Linked DNA regions of Saccharomyces cerevisiae S288C. The protein of the gene in region 3 purifies or fractionates together with the protein of the main gene of each other region. This does not show direct contact. Each region holds a gene or a part of one and is shown on either strand. Other genes may lie near its edges.

Region 1 (3,578 bases), on a different chromosome or scaffold from region 3:
ATGATCTGTGAATCTTATTCTTCAAATAAATAGCAGAAGAAAGACGAACATTTAGCGCAAAATTATCATCAGACACTATATTAAGCAGAAAAGAAGTAAACCCAGGTTGCTTCTGGAACTCAAATAACTGCTGTTCTGCCTCTTTGATAATTTTTGCATCAGCAACCATAGTCTGCTCAATGCAGCTCAAAATTGCCTGTTCTTGTACCATTTCCTTTTTTGATTTATCTCCTTTGTTGTAGACGGGCGCAATGTTAAATGTTTATGACACAAATCGAATAGCAAATCTACACTGGGATGAAGCAGAGACTGCGTACTTGATATTTTGGTTGTACTTTATTGATTGAGATACTTGTTGATAGGTACTCATCTTACCATCTCATTTGGAAAAAAAAATATCACAGAAAAAAAAAAGTGAAAAACTTGGCTAGCGACGTCCGGTTGCGCGCGGAATAACGCTAAGAAACGTGATAAAAAAGTGGCGTCTGTATTTATTTCATTTAGTGTTGTCTAGATAGAAATGTACGTAATACTTTATGTAGACCTACGTTGAAGCATATATGGTAATCATTTGTAGAAGTCGAATTTATCGACGGTATTATCTGTCTTGACTTGAGTGGCGTAAGCTTCTTCCAGATCGCTTTGTAAGATGACATATCTGTTTTTCCTCACTGCTCTTAAACCAGCTTCCTGCATGATCGCTGCAATAACAGCACCTGATAGAGAGTCGTTACGAATAATAAGCGAGTCTAAGTCCGCTTCTGGGGCAAGGGACATCTTACTGGCAATGGTACCGAAAATCAAACGACGTTCACGCCTATCACGAAGTGAGGGAAACTCAATCTTTCTATCTAATCTGCCTGGTCTCAGCAAAGCTGGGTCCAATGTGTCTGCCCTGTTTGTAGCCATGATGACTTTAACGTTGGTGGATTGATCGAAACCATCCATTTGTGTCAACAACTCAATCAGGATACGCTGTACTTCACGATCGGAACCCGTTTGAGCATCAAAACGCTTTGTGGCAATGGAATCTACCTCATCTATGAATATAATGGATGGAGCATTTTCCCTGGCGAGTCTAAAGACGTCACGAACCATTCTTGGACCTTCACCAAGATATTTGTGAACAAATTCGGAGCCATTAACTCTTATGAATGCAGCTTTTGTACTATTGGCGACGGCTTTAACAAGCATCGTCTTACCGGTACCTGGTGGACCATATAATAGAACACCCCTAGGAGGGTCAATACCGATTTGCTCGTATAGATCAGCCTGAACTAATGGCAGCTCTACGGCTTCCCTGATTTCTTGCTTTTGCATATCTAACCCACCAACATCTGCATAAGTGACGTCAGGTTTTTCGTTTTCGCCCATTACGGATATGCTAGAGTCGGAATCAGGTGGTAGGATGTCAACTAAAGCATTTGAATGACGATGTAAAGCTACAGACATAGATGGCTTTAATAGTTCACGGTCTAGGGTTGATAATATTCTAACGACATAACTCATACCTGTGGTACTAGAAACAATACCTGTGTTCTGATCAATAGGTTCTAAGAATTGCCCGATAACTAATGGAACCGACTGGATTCTCTTTACTTCTTCTTGAGCTCTCTTCAATTCACGTTTCAAATGGCGTTGTTCGTCCTTAATATAGTCTTCTTGCAAAGTCAGCAGTTCATACTCTTTTTCTAATTTCTTCAATTTGAAATATATATCAGAATTCACATTAGACAGGGCACTGTTATTGTTGACTGTACCATTGAGTTGAGCCAACAATGATGCGTATGATTTGACGGCTGGTTTTTCTTCGACTGCCTTTTCGACAGGTGTCACAATACCTAGTTCCTCCATTCTTGTTGTGGTTTTTACTTTATAAATACTTGAATTTTATCCGATTGCCTCTTGTATAACTTATGAGTGAAAGGAAATAGGCAGAATTGGTTTGTCCACACACTGAGAATCTGAGCCCTATTACTTCCTATATTCATGGCTATACCCAATTACTGCAGATTTACTATTTTGCCACCTTACTTTCAGGAAAAATATGAAAGGGCACATCGCGCGCTACGAAGAGCCAAACATTAGAGAAATTTTGATTATAATGGATTACACCAGCTAAACATTAGCTAGGTAAGGTTAAGGATATTGAAACCAAAACGTGCTATTTACTGTGTATTTATGATTTTATTATGTACAAGGATAAAGGATGAAAAAAATGCATGCGTGTTTTTTTAACGATATTCTTGCGCAGTATATCATGTCATATCAGCCCGGATACCAAGATTGTCATACTCACTAAAGAAATTGAGTATAAGTAGAACTCTAAGGTGTCAAAGACTAGGGGAGCGTCAAGTTTCCTATATTGTATGCTTTTTAGTGTGACAAAAAGTGCCTTTATTCGTTCCCAAATATCTCTGAAGGATTTCATTTCTGTTGTAGTGGTCTCAGCCGTTGCAACTTCAGGCCTGTCGATTTCCGCCGTATTAATTTTACATTCACCTCTCTGTTCTATGTGCTCTTCAACGATCGAGTTTTCTGTGTTGCCTTGGTCTGTTACTTCCGATGATTTTCCAGGTAACAATTTATCCATCTTCATATTCTGCTCCTTGGCATATTCGTTGAGAGCGCTTTTGACTTTGTCTTCAAACGATCCTACTAACCTTTTCCGTTTCCAAGGTTCTAATAGTAATTGTAGGACAATAAACAAGAATATATTCATACCCATTAAGATGAATGTACCCCAGGTGGATGTTCTTCGGATTTTGTCTGACCATATTTGTTCCTCATGGTACCTGGTCAAAATTGCTCTATACAAGTCGTCATTTAGTTGTTCTTCTTTGCTTTCAATTTCTTTAACCTTGTTTTTTAGTTCTTGCTCCTGTCTAGCATTCAAGGCGTCATTTTTGTATAGCTGCGTAAATCTCTCTAAATCGCTCGAAGACCACGCGCTTTGCCTTTGCAATAATTCGTTAACTTCTCTTTGGGATTGAGCACGTTCATCAATGGCGTTAGCGTACTGTGCCTTAAACAGTTTGTGTTCTTTCTTTGTAGCTTCTAATTTTTTTTCCATTAGACTGATGCTAGATTTGAGCTTTTGAATTCCAGAATAACCGGTCACATCATTTAAAGCACGTGTGGCAGTAAATAACGTCTCCTGTAATGAGTCAAAATAAAACTCTAACTTTCTAGACCATTTTTTTCTATGTTGTTCCCTTTCGGAGGGCAATCCTTCAATTTTCGCACTGGTCAATTCATCTTTATTATAGTTTAAACGGGAATCGTTGATTTCATTCTCTTGCTCAGACAACTTCCTGTTTGCCTCTTGAATTGATTTTTTGGCCTTGTTAACTTGAAAGGATAATTGATCTCGGTGGAAGTTAAACCTAGAATACAATTCATTTAATTTCTTTTTCAAGTGCTGCCATTGAAGTTCTATATTTTCTTTCCAAACAGCGTTATTAGGTGTCCGTATTTCATTTTTATTAGTGCTGCCTTTATCAGGAGTATCACCGTTCTGTAGAGAATATGAACTATAATGAAATGGCCTGGTGAAAGATGACGCCCTCAACATTAAT
Region 2 (5,344 bases), 130 kb from region 3:
GCCGTATTGTACAAACCTACTTTCTTAGCAAACCAAATTACGCTTGCTCTTATGCAAGGTCTTGATACTGAAGATTTAACAAATCAATTGGTTAAATTGGATCACGAACATGCATTCATCAAGCATCACCAAGAAATTGACGCAAAATTCGATGAATTAGTGAGGAAATATGATACGTCCAACTGATTTACGTAATATCTCACATTAAACATGTAGGTTTTTTAGAAAAAGAAAAAAATATTTCATGTATATGCCTATATACTATTTTGATAAAGCCGAATAAGATGGTACCATAAATGAGGTTGACATGGCTTGAACAAAATCATATAAAGTATAATTAACAAAGCGGAAACAACATTTGTCACGTTAGAATTATGCGTAAAGTAGCTAATCCTGGCAGAATAATTCAATGATTTTTTTTTAAAAGTATGTACACTATTATTTATTTTCTGGCATTTTGAACTAATTCTTCATTTTCTGTACGACCATGCACCCTTGATCTAAGCACTAGGGAAGTCGACATTATCATCGACCTTAAATGGGGTTGGAAGTGGAGCGTTAACATCTTTCATTTGCCTAACAGTTTCAATTAGTGCTACAGGTTCCTTGGGTTCCCTATCTCTTAAAACCACCACACCGTTATTTCCTTTGAATTTACGTACAGGAACAAATCTGTCGTCCTTAATAAAGGAAATATATCTCGATTGTTGTGGTAGTATACGGGTCATATTGTCGACTTTATAAGGTTTAGAAGAGTACTTATTTTTGTAAAATTCTTCGTCGTTTTCTTTTGTTTCTTTTATGCCTTTTTTATTCGTCTCTCTTTCCTTTTCTTTTTCCTCATGCTCTTTTTTCTTTTCTTCCTCATTTGGACCCTTTTCCTTCTTTGTCTTCTTTGCCCTTGCTTTTGCTCTTGCTGTCGTGGAAAGAACAGCTGTTGCTACCTTCTCTACCTCCTTACCACTTGCTTCCTCATACATCCTCGGATAACTGAATGCATCTTCTTTAGCGTAACAATTCATTTGAAATTTGGGTATAGCTTGATCGCTACCACGAATACCAATGACAGTTGTTGGTGTAAAAGAAAGGGATAAAAAGTGAGCCAGTGGGAACCAGTACCAGAATTGTGAGAACATGACCAAACCAACTACGGACTTGGTATCCAATGTGCCTGTATCCGCATTTTCCAGCTGAATTGTAACATTACGCCCACCGGCATTCATTATACCTTGGGCCACACATGCACCGAATTTGGCTAAACCTTCTTGGTGTTTGTTTGTAATCACGCTCAAAAAATTTTTGTTAATATCAGCAACTTGAGGGTTTAGTTTTTCTGTTTGTTGAATCAAAATCATGGATAAAGCTATCATGGCAGCCTGACGAACAAAATCTACTGGGTCCTTTGTTAGCGGATCTAAAACGTCAATAGCTGATTGTAAACCCTTGCCGGCACAAGCAATCCCAAGAGCAAATGCGGTACCACATCTGACATGAGCGTTATGCGATTTAGATAGAAGTTGGACAATCCTTGGTACAGTGGTATAATCACGCAAGAGAACAAACCCTAATGCGATGACTGCTGCCCTTCTGACATCATCGTTAGAATCCGAGACTGCCACATGCAGTAATCTCTTGACAGCTGAATTATTTCCCGTACCCGCATACGCTAACGCGATTGTGAATGCACCTCCATAGCGTAACAAGGACTCATCACTTGCTAACATCTTAGTAATTAAATCATCAGCTAACTCTTGACGGCCGTAATTTATCAGTGCTAAACCAACGGCTAGACCACGAGTAATATTGCCATGCTGCGTTTCTTGGGAATATGTAAACATATCGTGAATCGCTTCAGGCTTACCTGTTCCGAGCATACAGAGACCCATACCTAATGCAGCTGCTTCTCCAGATGTGGCAGAATCGTTGTACAGAACTTCCTTTAAGGCTTCATAAACTTCAATATTAGCAGAACCCATAGCAGCAAGACCGATACCCAGTGAAGCACCATGTAACAATACATCTACGTCTTCATCGCCTGAAGTTCCGCTATTCTCAACTATTATGTTTTTCAGATAGTCAGTTGTATCACGACCAAAGCCAGCATAAATTAAACCCAAACCATACAATGAACCACCTTTGATAAACCTAGAAGAAGCTCGACTGCCTGGCAAGTAAGGGGCCATGACTTTTTTACCCTCCAATAAATTGCCTTTATGAATTACACCTAAAGAGGCTGTAGCTGTAAATTTAGCCCAATTTTGAGCCTTACCTAACCATGGCAAGTTCGCCTTGATAAATGAATTGTCGGTAGTACCAGCGTGCATAAAACCGTTGGCAACGCTGACTGCGGTGTGGAACAAAGAAAATTTCCCATCCAAAGATGATTTAGACTTGTTTAAAAGACCGATGTCAATGTTTTTATTATTCAAAAGGAAGGTATTGTAATAATCACAAGTCGGTAGCCCAGATAGAATATTCAATAAGGCAGGATCGTAACCCTGGGCAGTTAGTTCGGTTACTAAAATCTCAAGCAACTGCTGAGACGCAGACGAAACCAAATCAAATGCAATTTGAGCAGATAATCCTTCATCGTTCTCTTCCTTTAATTTTTTAAATAGCTGAAGTGCCAATCCGGCGTCATTCAAATTTACAACTACTTTATTGAGCGTTAAGTAATCGCAGTTAGGCATATTCATTAGGAAATCAAATGATTTTCTCAATATCGAGGATCTGAACTTGGAATTTGTCACAGTAGTTATAGCTAAGGTCAATAAGTAGTTAATAATTTTAACGTTTTCAGAAGTGGAATCCTGATCCAATTTGCTCTTTAAAGCACTTTCAATGATATCCAATCTGTAACCTTCTAAGGCAATTCCTAAAGCTAATTTTAATTCTGAAGCTTTCAAACATTTTTCTATCATTCGCTCAAAAATAGAGGTTAATTTTGGGTCAATAATATCCTTGGTGTAAAATTGTTCGTCCTTAGTGTATTGCTTGGAAGCCTCTTGGACGTACATCTCAATACTCTTTGAGACTATAGTTTCAACAAATTGTGACTTTTCGTCTATATCAAAACGATCCTTTGCGGCAAGTGCATACTTCACAGCCGATTCGTATTCACCAAGATTGTAATAAACTTTGGATGCAATCAAAGCAGCCATTTCACGGTCTGAAAAGGTATCGTCATCATACAATGCCTCAATATCCGGCAGTTCATTCGAGATCTCAGACCATAATTGGTCCACAACATTATTTATAGATTCTAGGGCATATGTTTTAACAGAATCTTGATTCTCTCTCAACAATGCTAAAAGAGGAGCAGCAGTCGTCAAAGACATCTTTTCCGGTTATATTTGAACTCAATCTATTCTGGGTGGTCTTTTACTGGATAGAGTTCCACAATTTTTTTTCCCTTGGATTCAAAGCATTATACTTTTATGTATCCAGTTTTGCCACCGAAAATAAATGAAATGCGCCCTTCTCCTATTGAAAAGCAATATGCTATTACCCGCACTAAACCCTCGAAATAATGGCAATAAGAGGCAGATCGAAAAAGCTCGACAGATTATCGTCCATGAATCGTGAGACAGCACTTTGTGGAGTTTAATGGGCAATCAAAGGCTATTTTTTTACTCGATTCCGTTTCAACATATCTTACATACTATGAAGATAGGGGAGGATTTTAAATCTATACATATATTTTTATTTATCTGAGTAATTAGTATAATAACCTGATGGAAACTTTGGCAGAAGTTTGGTTCAACTTTTCATATATATCCTTGATTTCACTTTGATTAACAGAAGAGATGTCTGCCATTAGATAAGCGATCTCGCCGTGAGAATCAGAAAACTGTTTCTCGATATTATGATCGGATAAGATATCATTAACGGTCTTCAAAACACCAGGAACGTTACGATGAATATACAAGACACGTACTGTGTTCTCTTGATCGTAGTCCAAAGACTTCAAACTGACTTCTGGGAAGTTCACAGAACCGACAGAGTTACCTTCATTGATGTATTTGGACAATGCAGTAGCCACCTCAATACCGATTGAACTTTGAGCTTCTTCTGTAGAGCCACCAATATGTGGTGTCAGGATTATATTTGGTAATGAAACCAACTCAGAAGTCCAGCTGTTAAGTTCATCGTTAAATGAACCTTCACCGTTCTTAGCTGGTTCATGTGGATAAACATCTAAAGCAGCACCTGCAATTTTGTTGGCCTTGACGGCTTGGATCAGAGATGGAATGTCCACGACAGTACCTCTTGAGGCATTAATAACATAAGCCCCGTCCTTCATAGCAGCGAATTGTGGAGCAGATAACATTTTTTCAGTTTCTGGAGTAGCTGGTACATGTAGTGTTACAAAATCAGATTTATTCAACAATTCATCTAATGTAGAAACTTGTCTGGCAGTACCTAAGGCCATAATTGTCACGATATCATAGTATAGCACATGCAGGCCCATAGCTTCTGCAAGAACTGATAATTGCGAACCAATGTGACCATACCCAATAATACCGAGAGTTTTTCCTCTTACTTCCCAACACCTAGCAGCGACTTTATTCCATGTACCTGTATGCAGTTCAATGGATCTATCACCTAATTGTCTTGCTAAACTAATGATCTCACCAATTACCAATTCTGCTACGGATCTTGAATTGGAGAATGGCGAATTGAAAACAGCAATACCTTTACTAGCGGCATATTTTAGGTCTACTTGATTGGTACCTATGCAAAAACAACCAATACAAACTAGATTCCTGGCATGCTGTAGTATTTTTTCAGTCAATCTAGTTTTGGATCTTATACCGATAGCGTGTACGTCTTTGATTTTTTCAATCAATTCATCCTCAGGTAGAGAAGACTTGTGGAACTCTACTTGGTAACCCTGATCCTTGAAGATTTTGATTGCAGTTGCATTGACATTTTCCAACAGTAGAATATTCATGTCACCAGTAGAAAAAGGTTTTAAAGCCTTTGGTTGCTTTGTAATGCTTACACGACGAGGTAGTGTGTTCATAAATGACTGAGTTGGTGAGGTTGAGACTGCACCAGGAGAGCCAGAAAAGTTCATGGCACGTTGGAATGAATCTTGTAAATTATCGGCAGCTGAATAAGACATGTTAGGGAGGAAATACCCGAAATCAGTGTTTGTTACTTTTTAATGTTACAATAATCTACAGCTAAAACAGACAAAGTATTTTTTAATGTAGTAGCTCGTAACCTTCTTATGTATTAAACCTGGGAGATTCCATTAGTTTTCATAACGGTGACTCGTTTCCAGCGTGAAGAATCTAGCCCACAATTAATCTGAGCGCTGTCCGGCTGACGGCCAAAT
Region 3 (2,814 bases):
GCTCAAAAATTCCCAAAGCAGAAAACAATACTGATTTCTGATACTAAAACGAGATAGGTTAATAGCAAAATCGGGATGGTAAACGTGAAAGTGGAGTTTCTAGGTGGACTTGATGCTATTTTTGGAAAACAAAGAGTACATAAAATTAAGATGGACAAAGAAGATCCTGTCACAGTGGGCGATTTGATTGACCACATTGTATCTACTATGATCAATAACCCTAATGACGTTAGTATCTTCATCGAAGATGATTCTATAAGACCCGGTATCATCACATTAATCAACGACACCGATTGGGAGCTCGAAGGCGAAAAAGACTACATATTGGAAGACGGTGACATCATCTCTTTTACTTCAACATTACATGGTGGTTAAAAATAGCAGCAAATAATTTTTAAGAAGCAGCTACATATATATATATAAAGTGCTGTACAGCTTGAATGAATCACAAGTTAGATAACGTAGGTAATATGCAGATAGTATAAAAAGTAATAGTAATAACTGGATTGGTTTTTTTTAGTACATGACGAAGATTATAGCTCTTGTATCCTACAACCCAAAAGACCTCTACCATTCCAGTTTCTCGAAGGTGTTAGCGATGTCTTTAGGATTTGCCCTTCTCTCAAGAGAAGGACGGGAAGTGGCCTGTCTTCATTTTTCATTACAACCATCTGAATGTTTTGAAGTTTAGAGTGGTTTGCCGCATGCACATTACCAATAGAAATCAGCTTATCATCAACCTTTATGTCTGCTTTATCTGAAGGGCTACCGGGTACTACCTCACTGATAAATGCAAAAGGGATGGTATACTGAATAGCTTGATCGTCGTTATTCCTTCTTGCATCTTGGTTTGACTTAACGTTCATATTATCAAAGTGCTGGTTTAGTAAGACGTGTGATCTTTGCAAAAGGTGATTTAAATCATTCTTCAGCATATTAACATTCTTTCTGATCATAGTGACTTGCAATACATCGACATCCGAACGAGGATACCCGTCTGGCGTCACCAACGCAGAGTCCATGCCGATGCCTTGCTGCTCAAGCACACTGAAATACGCCTCTAGTTGTGTCTCAATATCTGTCTTTAGAACCATCAATTCCGACAGTTTGAAGCTGTCTATTTGACTAATTCTTGATGTTAGGCTCGGATCTATCTTAACATTGGCCAACAATTTACTTAATTCTTCTTCCTCCATTGTAGTTCGTTCTTATTCTAATTCTTGCTCCTTTTTACTCTGGTGATAACTTTTCTATCTCTCAATGCTGAACATTTTTTTTCCCTTTATTATCCAATATTCCAACCGTTATAAAGTAAGCCTTATCGAACACAATCCACGGCGCACGCAAGGGACAGCAAATTTCGAGAATTAATGAATAGCCAGTAGTAAGATCCGTATTGATAAAGGTCATAGATCCCAACCTTTATGTGAGCCAGCCCGAAGGGCCCTTTAAATGACTCTCATAATATGGTCCAATAGCACCAATTTCTAGGGGTTACCCACCGGCCTAGTGCTTAATCGAATTCTGAAAAGAATCTCTACTACAGACTGCCAACCGTAATAGTAGTGAGATCAACACTGAAGGCAGCAGTCTTTAGCACAATGACACAGACTGATAATCCTGTCCCCAACTGCGGTTTACTGCCCGAGCAGCAGTATTGCTCTGCAGACCATGAAGAGCCACTGTTGTTGCATGAAGAACAATTGATATTCCCTGATCATTCCTCCCAACTGTCCTCAGCAGATATCATCGAGCCCATCAAGATGAACAGCAGTACTGAGTCAATTATAGGGACAACGCTGCGAAAGAAATGGGTACCACTATCCTCAACTCAGATCACAGCTCTTTCCGGCGCATTTGCTGGATTCTTATCAGGTGTGGCAGTATGTCCCCTCGATGTTGCCAAAACGCGATTGCAAGCACAAGGACTACAAACTAGGTTCGAGAACCCCTACTATAGGGGGATAATGGGGACATTAAGTACTATAGTAAGAGACGAAGGCCCGCGGGGCCTCTACAAAGGGCTGGTACCGATTGTCCTGGGCTACTTCCCAACCTGGATGATATACTTCTCCGTGTATGAATTCAGCAAAAAGTTCTTTCACGGCATCTTCCCACAGTTTGATTTTGTTGCTCAGTCATGTGCTGCAATCACGGCAGGCGCTGCATCTACCACCTTGACCAACCCAATCTGGGTTGTGAAGACAAGACTTATGCTGCAATCAAACCTCGGTGAGCACCCCACACATTACAAAGGCACTTTCGATGCATTCAGAAAGCTATTTTATCAGGAAGGGTTTAAAGCATTATATGCGGGGCTGGTCCCCTCATTATTAGGGCTATTTCATGTGGCTATCCATTTCCCTATATACGAAGATTTGAAGGTAAGATTTCACTGCTATTCTCGGGAGAACAACACCAACTCCATCAACTTGCAACGGTTGATCATGGCATCGTCCGTCTCTAAGATGATTGCATCAGCAGTAACATATCCGCACGAAATTTTACGAACCAGAATGCAACTGAAATCAGATATACCAGATTCCATTCAACGACGTCTGTTCCCCCTCATTAAAGCAACTTATGCACAAGAGGGACTAAAGGGATTTTATTCTGGATTTACTACTAACCTAGTACGAACCATTCCGGCCTCGGCAATCACTCTAGTGTCCTTTGAGTATTTCAGAAACCGCCTAGAAAATATTAGCACTATGGTAATTTAAAGCCTTAAAATTCACACACGCCACACATTGAGTGTGCTATGAATATGCCTGCGCTAATATTTTAGGTATTACAGCTTGTAAATATACCAAA
Region 4 (3,879 bases), on a different chromosome or scaffold from region 3:
ATATTTGGAGATAATGGATCTAATATCATGAGTCAAAATGAAAGGAAAAATGTTCGAAGAAAGTATAGGCTAAAGTGACATAAGTTAATCGAAAAAAAAATATTCAAAGTTTAATTCTTGTTTACTAAATGAAAAAAATATTTCACTGTTTAAAGATATGTCTATAGGTGTAGTAATTAATGTTCAGAGTTTTGCTAATCAAACGAAAAAATGACTCTTTACGCTGCTATTAATGTCATTTAAATACCATAAACAGTTTACCGTTTTGACTTTTCACTTTTTTTTTGGGTGTCTTCTTTCCCCTGAAAAATTGAAAAACTAAAATTCCATTAATTGTCACCTTATGTTTTGTGTAAGCAAGTGAAGAGAATGAGAGCAATACGTGGCCATTTTCCATTTGAGTTATATATATGCATAGATAATTTTATCTCACGTACGTAAATACACATTTCGATTAGTAACAGATTTAAAATCAAAACCGGATCTGAGATAATCCGACACTTACTCGAAAATCTCTTCATTTAGCTTGCAAACCGTGCATGATTTCCTCTTTTGTAATTAAATGGCCTATTGTTTCTATATGTTCTAATAGTTCGTCAACATTATGTGACCATTCGTTCAATAATTGGCTTGAGTTTTTTGGTTTTTCAAAATTCACGATTTTGGCTGGGCGATTAACTTTAGCGTATATGATGCCCTGGTTTACCAAATCACTGATGTATGTTTCCGTCTGGCTCTCCGTTAGGTCCAGCAATTCATTCAATCTTAGTAAAGTAATTCTGGAATAGTATTCGGAAATGACTCTTAAATTGTGCTCGATGACCCTTTTTTGTAAATCTTCCCAGTGATGCTTATTAGCTTCTCCACCAAATGCCAAATCATCCTCATTTAAGACGGGCTCATAGGTTTTTTGAACAATTGGCCATCTCATCAACTCATTCGTAGTAAACAATTTTACTAAAGATTCTTGGCTTTCTAATTTTTTCAGGTTGTTATCATTCTGGATTTTGTGAATTAAATCATTTTGTAAATTGCCGTAAGGTGAAAGGACTAAGAAATATACAATGTGCGATAAAACAGGTTTCCACTTAGCCTCATCTGATTTAATGGCGTCTGTTTGATAAATTTCTTGCAGATACTGCGCAACTTCTAGGTATTCTCTCTTGTGCAAACTAATTTTTACCAGAAGATTATAATATTCTAGCTTCAATGACTCGTATTTTGGATTTTTAAAAGTTTTTTTCAGAATTTTTCTTGAAAGCACCGTGGCTTGGGAATAATCACCTTTTAATATACTCAATTCCATTTGCTCTAATATAAACTGAATTTTCTCAGACATTTCCATGGAGCCATAGGTCTCAACCTGTAACTCACACAAGATGTCTGCAGCTTCATCAATCTTACCCTCTTCTTTCTTAATTTCCACCAAATCTTTGGTGACCCTAGCTCTTTCCACTTCTACAAATATTTTGTTCTCTGTAACCACCCTGATAGTTTCAATGACACTAATTCTGGTGTTTAAATCCAAAGATTTCGAGCTTTTCAAATATTCCATAACCTTTTGTATCATATACTGAATTGACAATTTCAACTGACCATGCTTTTTTGAGAGTAGAGTCAATTGCTCATTTAGGTCGTCCCACTTATTCCTTGATGCTAGCAGATCTACAATCTTGGCCAAAACTTCTTTCGAGGAGGCCAGATCTGAAGCTTGTCTGGTTTTCTTCTCCAACACTAACAGTTGGTCTAAAGCAGAGTTACAATCATTTTGAGCGAGCGAATCGATCTTAGGAAACTCTTCCTTCAAAATTTGGCTATAATCCTTGTCAGCCTTAATTGGTGCATCTCTTGACATCTTTCTCTACGTTTACTCTAGCAACAAAAATGGTAGTGAGCCCAGCAGTATATTCCTCTACTCTCTTAATTCAAGATTATCTCTGATGTAGTGTCCTGTTATGGTTTTTCCTTGGATTCCCCTTTGCATTTTGCCACCGAAAAGTCAAAAAGATCACATACAAGACGGGTAATATTGGGGCGATGAGCCGTACAGAACGAGTGAAAAATTTTAGGATTTATTAGGAATAATAATGATAATTTAGAGATGAGCATTTAGCGAGAAGCATCTGAAGGTTGCACTAATTATTACTGTAAATAGTACAGTTGAGAAGCAAATAAAAGGGAAGATCAAATACATGGCCGGTTCACAACTTAAGAATTTAAAGGCCGCCTTGAAGGCCCGTGGACTCACAGGTCAAACAAACGTCAAAAGTAAGAATAAAAAGAATTCCAAAAGACAAGCGAAGGAGTATGATCGTGAAGAAAAAAAAAAGGCCATTGCTGAAATCAGAGAAGAGTTTAATCCGTTTGAAATAAAGGCTGCAAGGAATAAGAGGAGAGATGGTCTGCCTTCTAAAACTGCTGATCGTATTGCTGTGGGTAAGCCTGGTATCTCTAAACAGATCGGTGAAGAACAAAGAAAGCGTGCATTTGAAGCAAGAAAAATGATGAAGAATAAACGTGGTGGTGTGATCGATAAGAGATTTGGTGAAAGAGACAAGTTGTTGACGGAAGAAGAAAAAATGTTGGAACGTTTCACCAGAGAAAGACAAAGCCAATCAAAGAGAAACGCAAATTTATTCAATCTTGAAGACGATGAAGACGACGGTGACATGTTTGGAGACGGTCTTACACATTTAGGTCAATCGCTGTCCCTAGAAGATGAGCTTGCCAATGATGAAGAGGATTTTTTAGCTTCCAAACGATTCAATGAAGATGATGCTGAGCTACAGCAACCTCAAAGAAAAAAAACCAAAGCTGAAGTCATGAAAGAGGTCATTGCCAAATCAAAATTTTACAAACAAGAAAGACAAAAGGCTCAAGGTATAATGGAAGATCAAATAGATAATCTGGATGATAATTTCGAGGATGTTATGTCTGAATTGATGATGACGCAACCCAAGAAGAATCCAATGGAACCTAAGACCGATCTAGATAAGGAGTATGATATCAAAGTGAAAGAACTACAATTGGACAAAAGAGCTGCACCCTCTGATAGAACTAAAACTGAAGAGGAGAAAAACGCTGAAGCTGAAGAAAAAAAACGGGAGTTGGAACAACAGCGTCTTGATCGTATGAACGGTATGATTGAATTAGAAGAAGGCGAAGAAAGAGGAGTAGAGGATTTGGATGATGGATTCTGGGAAAATGAAGAAGACTATGAAGACGATAATGACGGTATTGCTGATTCTGATGATGATATCAAATTTGAAGATCAAGGCAGAGATGAAGGGTTTTCTCAAATTTTAAAGAAAAAGAACATTTCCATTTCATGCCCTAGAACTCATGATGCGTTATTAGATCAAGTAAAAAAATTAGACTTAGATGATCATCCTAAGATTGTTAAGAATATTATCAAAGCTTACCAACCAAAATTGGCTGAAGGTAATAAGGAAAAGTTAGGAAAATTCACCGCTGTTTTACTGAGACACATCATTTTTCTAAGCAATCAAAACTACCTTAAAAACGTTCAAAGTTTTAAACGTACACAAAATGCATTGATCTCAATTCTAAAATCCCTTTCAGAGAAATATAATAGAGAGCTTTCCGAGGAGTGTAGAGATTATATCAATGAAATGCAAGCACGCTATAAAAAGAACCATTTTGATGCTCTATCAAATGGTGATCTGGTATTTTTTTCCATTATTGGTATTCTTTTCTCCACCTCGGACCAGTACCATTTAGTAATAACTCCAGCATTGATTTTAATGAGCCAGTTCCTGGAACAAATCAAGTTTAATTCTTTAAAGAGGATAGCTTTTGGCGCTGTCTTGGTAAGGATTGTTTCACAATATCAACGCATTTCCAAACGGTACATACCGG

The links.
Region 1: the proteins of NAS2 (region 3) and RPT3 purify together in Saccharomyces cerevisiae (affinity purification with western blotting; 5 studies listed by BioGRID, with this or other methods). This does not show direct contact.
Region 2: the proteins of NAS2 (region 3) and RPN2 purify together in Saccharomyces cerevisiae (affinity purification with western blotting; 3 studies listed by BioGRID, with this or other methods). This does not show direct contact.
Region 4: the proteins of NAS2 (region 3) and RPN5 purify together in Saccharomyces cerevisiae (affinity purification with mass spectrometry; 2 studies listed by BioGRID). This does not show direct contact.

Annotation. Positions count from the first base shown.
Region 1 is NC_001136.10:1,259,957-1,263,534, reverse strand, and holds RPT3 (proteasome regulatory particle base subunit RPT3), read right to left. Parts: upstream 1,855-3,578; coding exon 568-1,854; downstream 1-567. Other genes in the region: SXM1 (Sxm1p), read right to left, coding at 1-211; SHE9 (She9p), read right to left, coding at 2,264-3,578. UniProt on the Saccharomyces cerevisiae protein: The 26S proteasome is involved in the ATP-dependent degradation of ubiquitinated proteins. The regulatory (or ATPase) complex confers ATP dependency and substrate specificity to the 26S complex.
Region 2 is NC_001141.2:217,363-222,706, forward strand, and holds RPN2 (proteasome regulatory particle base subunit RPN2), read right to left. Parts: upstream 3,339-5,344; coding exon 501-3,338; downstream 1-500. Other genes in the region: SEC28 (coatomer subunit epsilon), read left to right, coding at 1-186; phosphoglycerate dehydrogenase SER33, read right to left, coding at 3,719-5,128. UniProt on the Saccharomyces cerevisiae protein: Acts as a regulatory subunit of the 26S proteasome which is involved in the ATP-dependent degradation of ubiquitinated proteins.
Region 3 is NC_001141.2:342,461-345,274, forward strand, and holds NAS2 (Nas2p), read right to left. Parts: upstream 1,197-2,814; coding exon 534-1,196; downstream 1-533. Other genes in the region: ubiquitin-related modifier URM1, read left to right, coding at 76-375; YIA6 (NAD+ transporter), read left to right, coding at 1,602-2,723. UniProt on the Saccharomyces cerevisiae protein: Acts as a chaperone during the assembly of the 26S proteasome, specifically of the base subcomplex of the 19S regulatory complex (RC).
Region 4 is NC_001136.10:188,900-192,778, reverse strand, and holds RPN5 (proteasome regulatory particle lid subunit RPN5), read right to left. Parts: upstream 1,856-3,879; coding exon 518-1,855; downstream 1-517. Other genes in the region: LDB17 (Ldb17p), read right to left, coding at 1-29; snoRNA-binding rRNA-processing protein NOP14, read left to right, coding at 2,193-3,879. UniProt on the Saccharomyces cerevisiae protein: Acts as a regulatory subunit of the 26S proteasome which is involved in the ATP-dependent degradation of ubiquitinated proteins.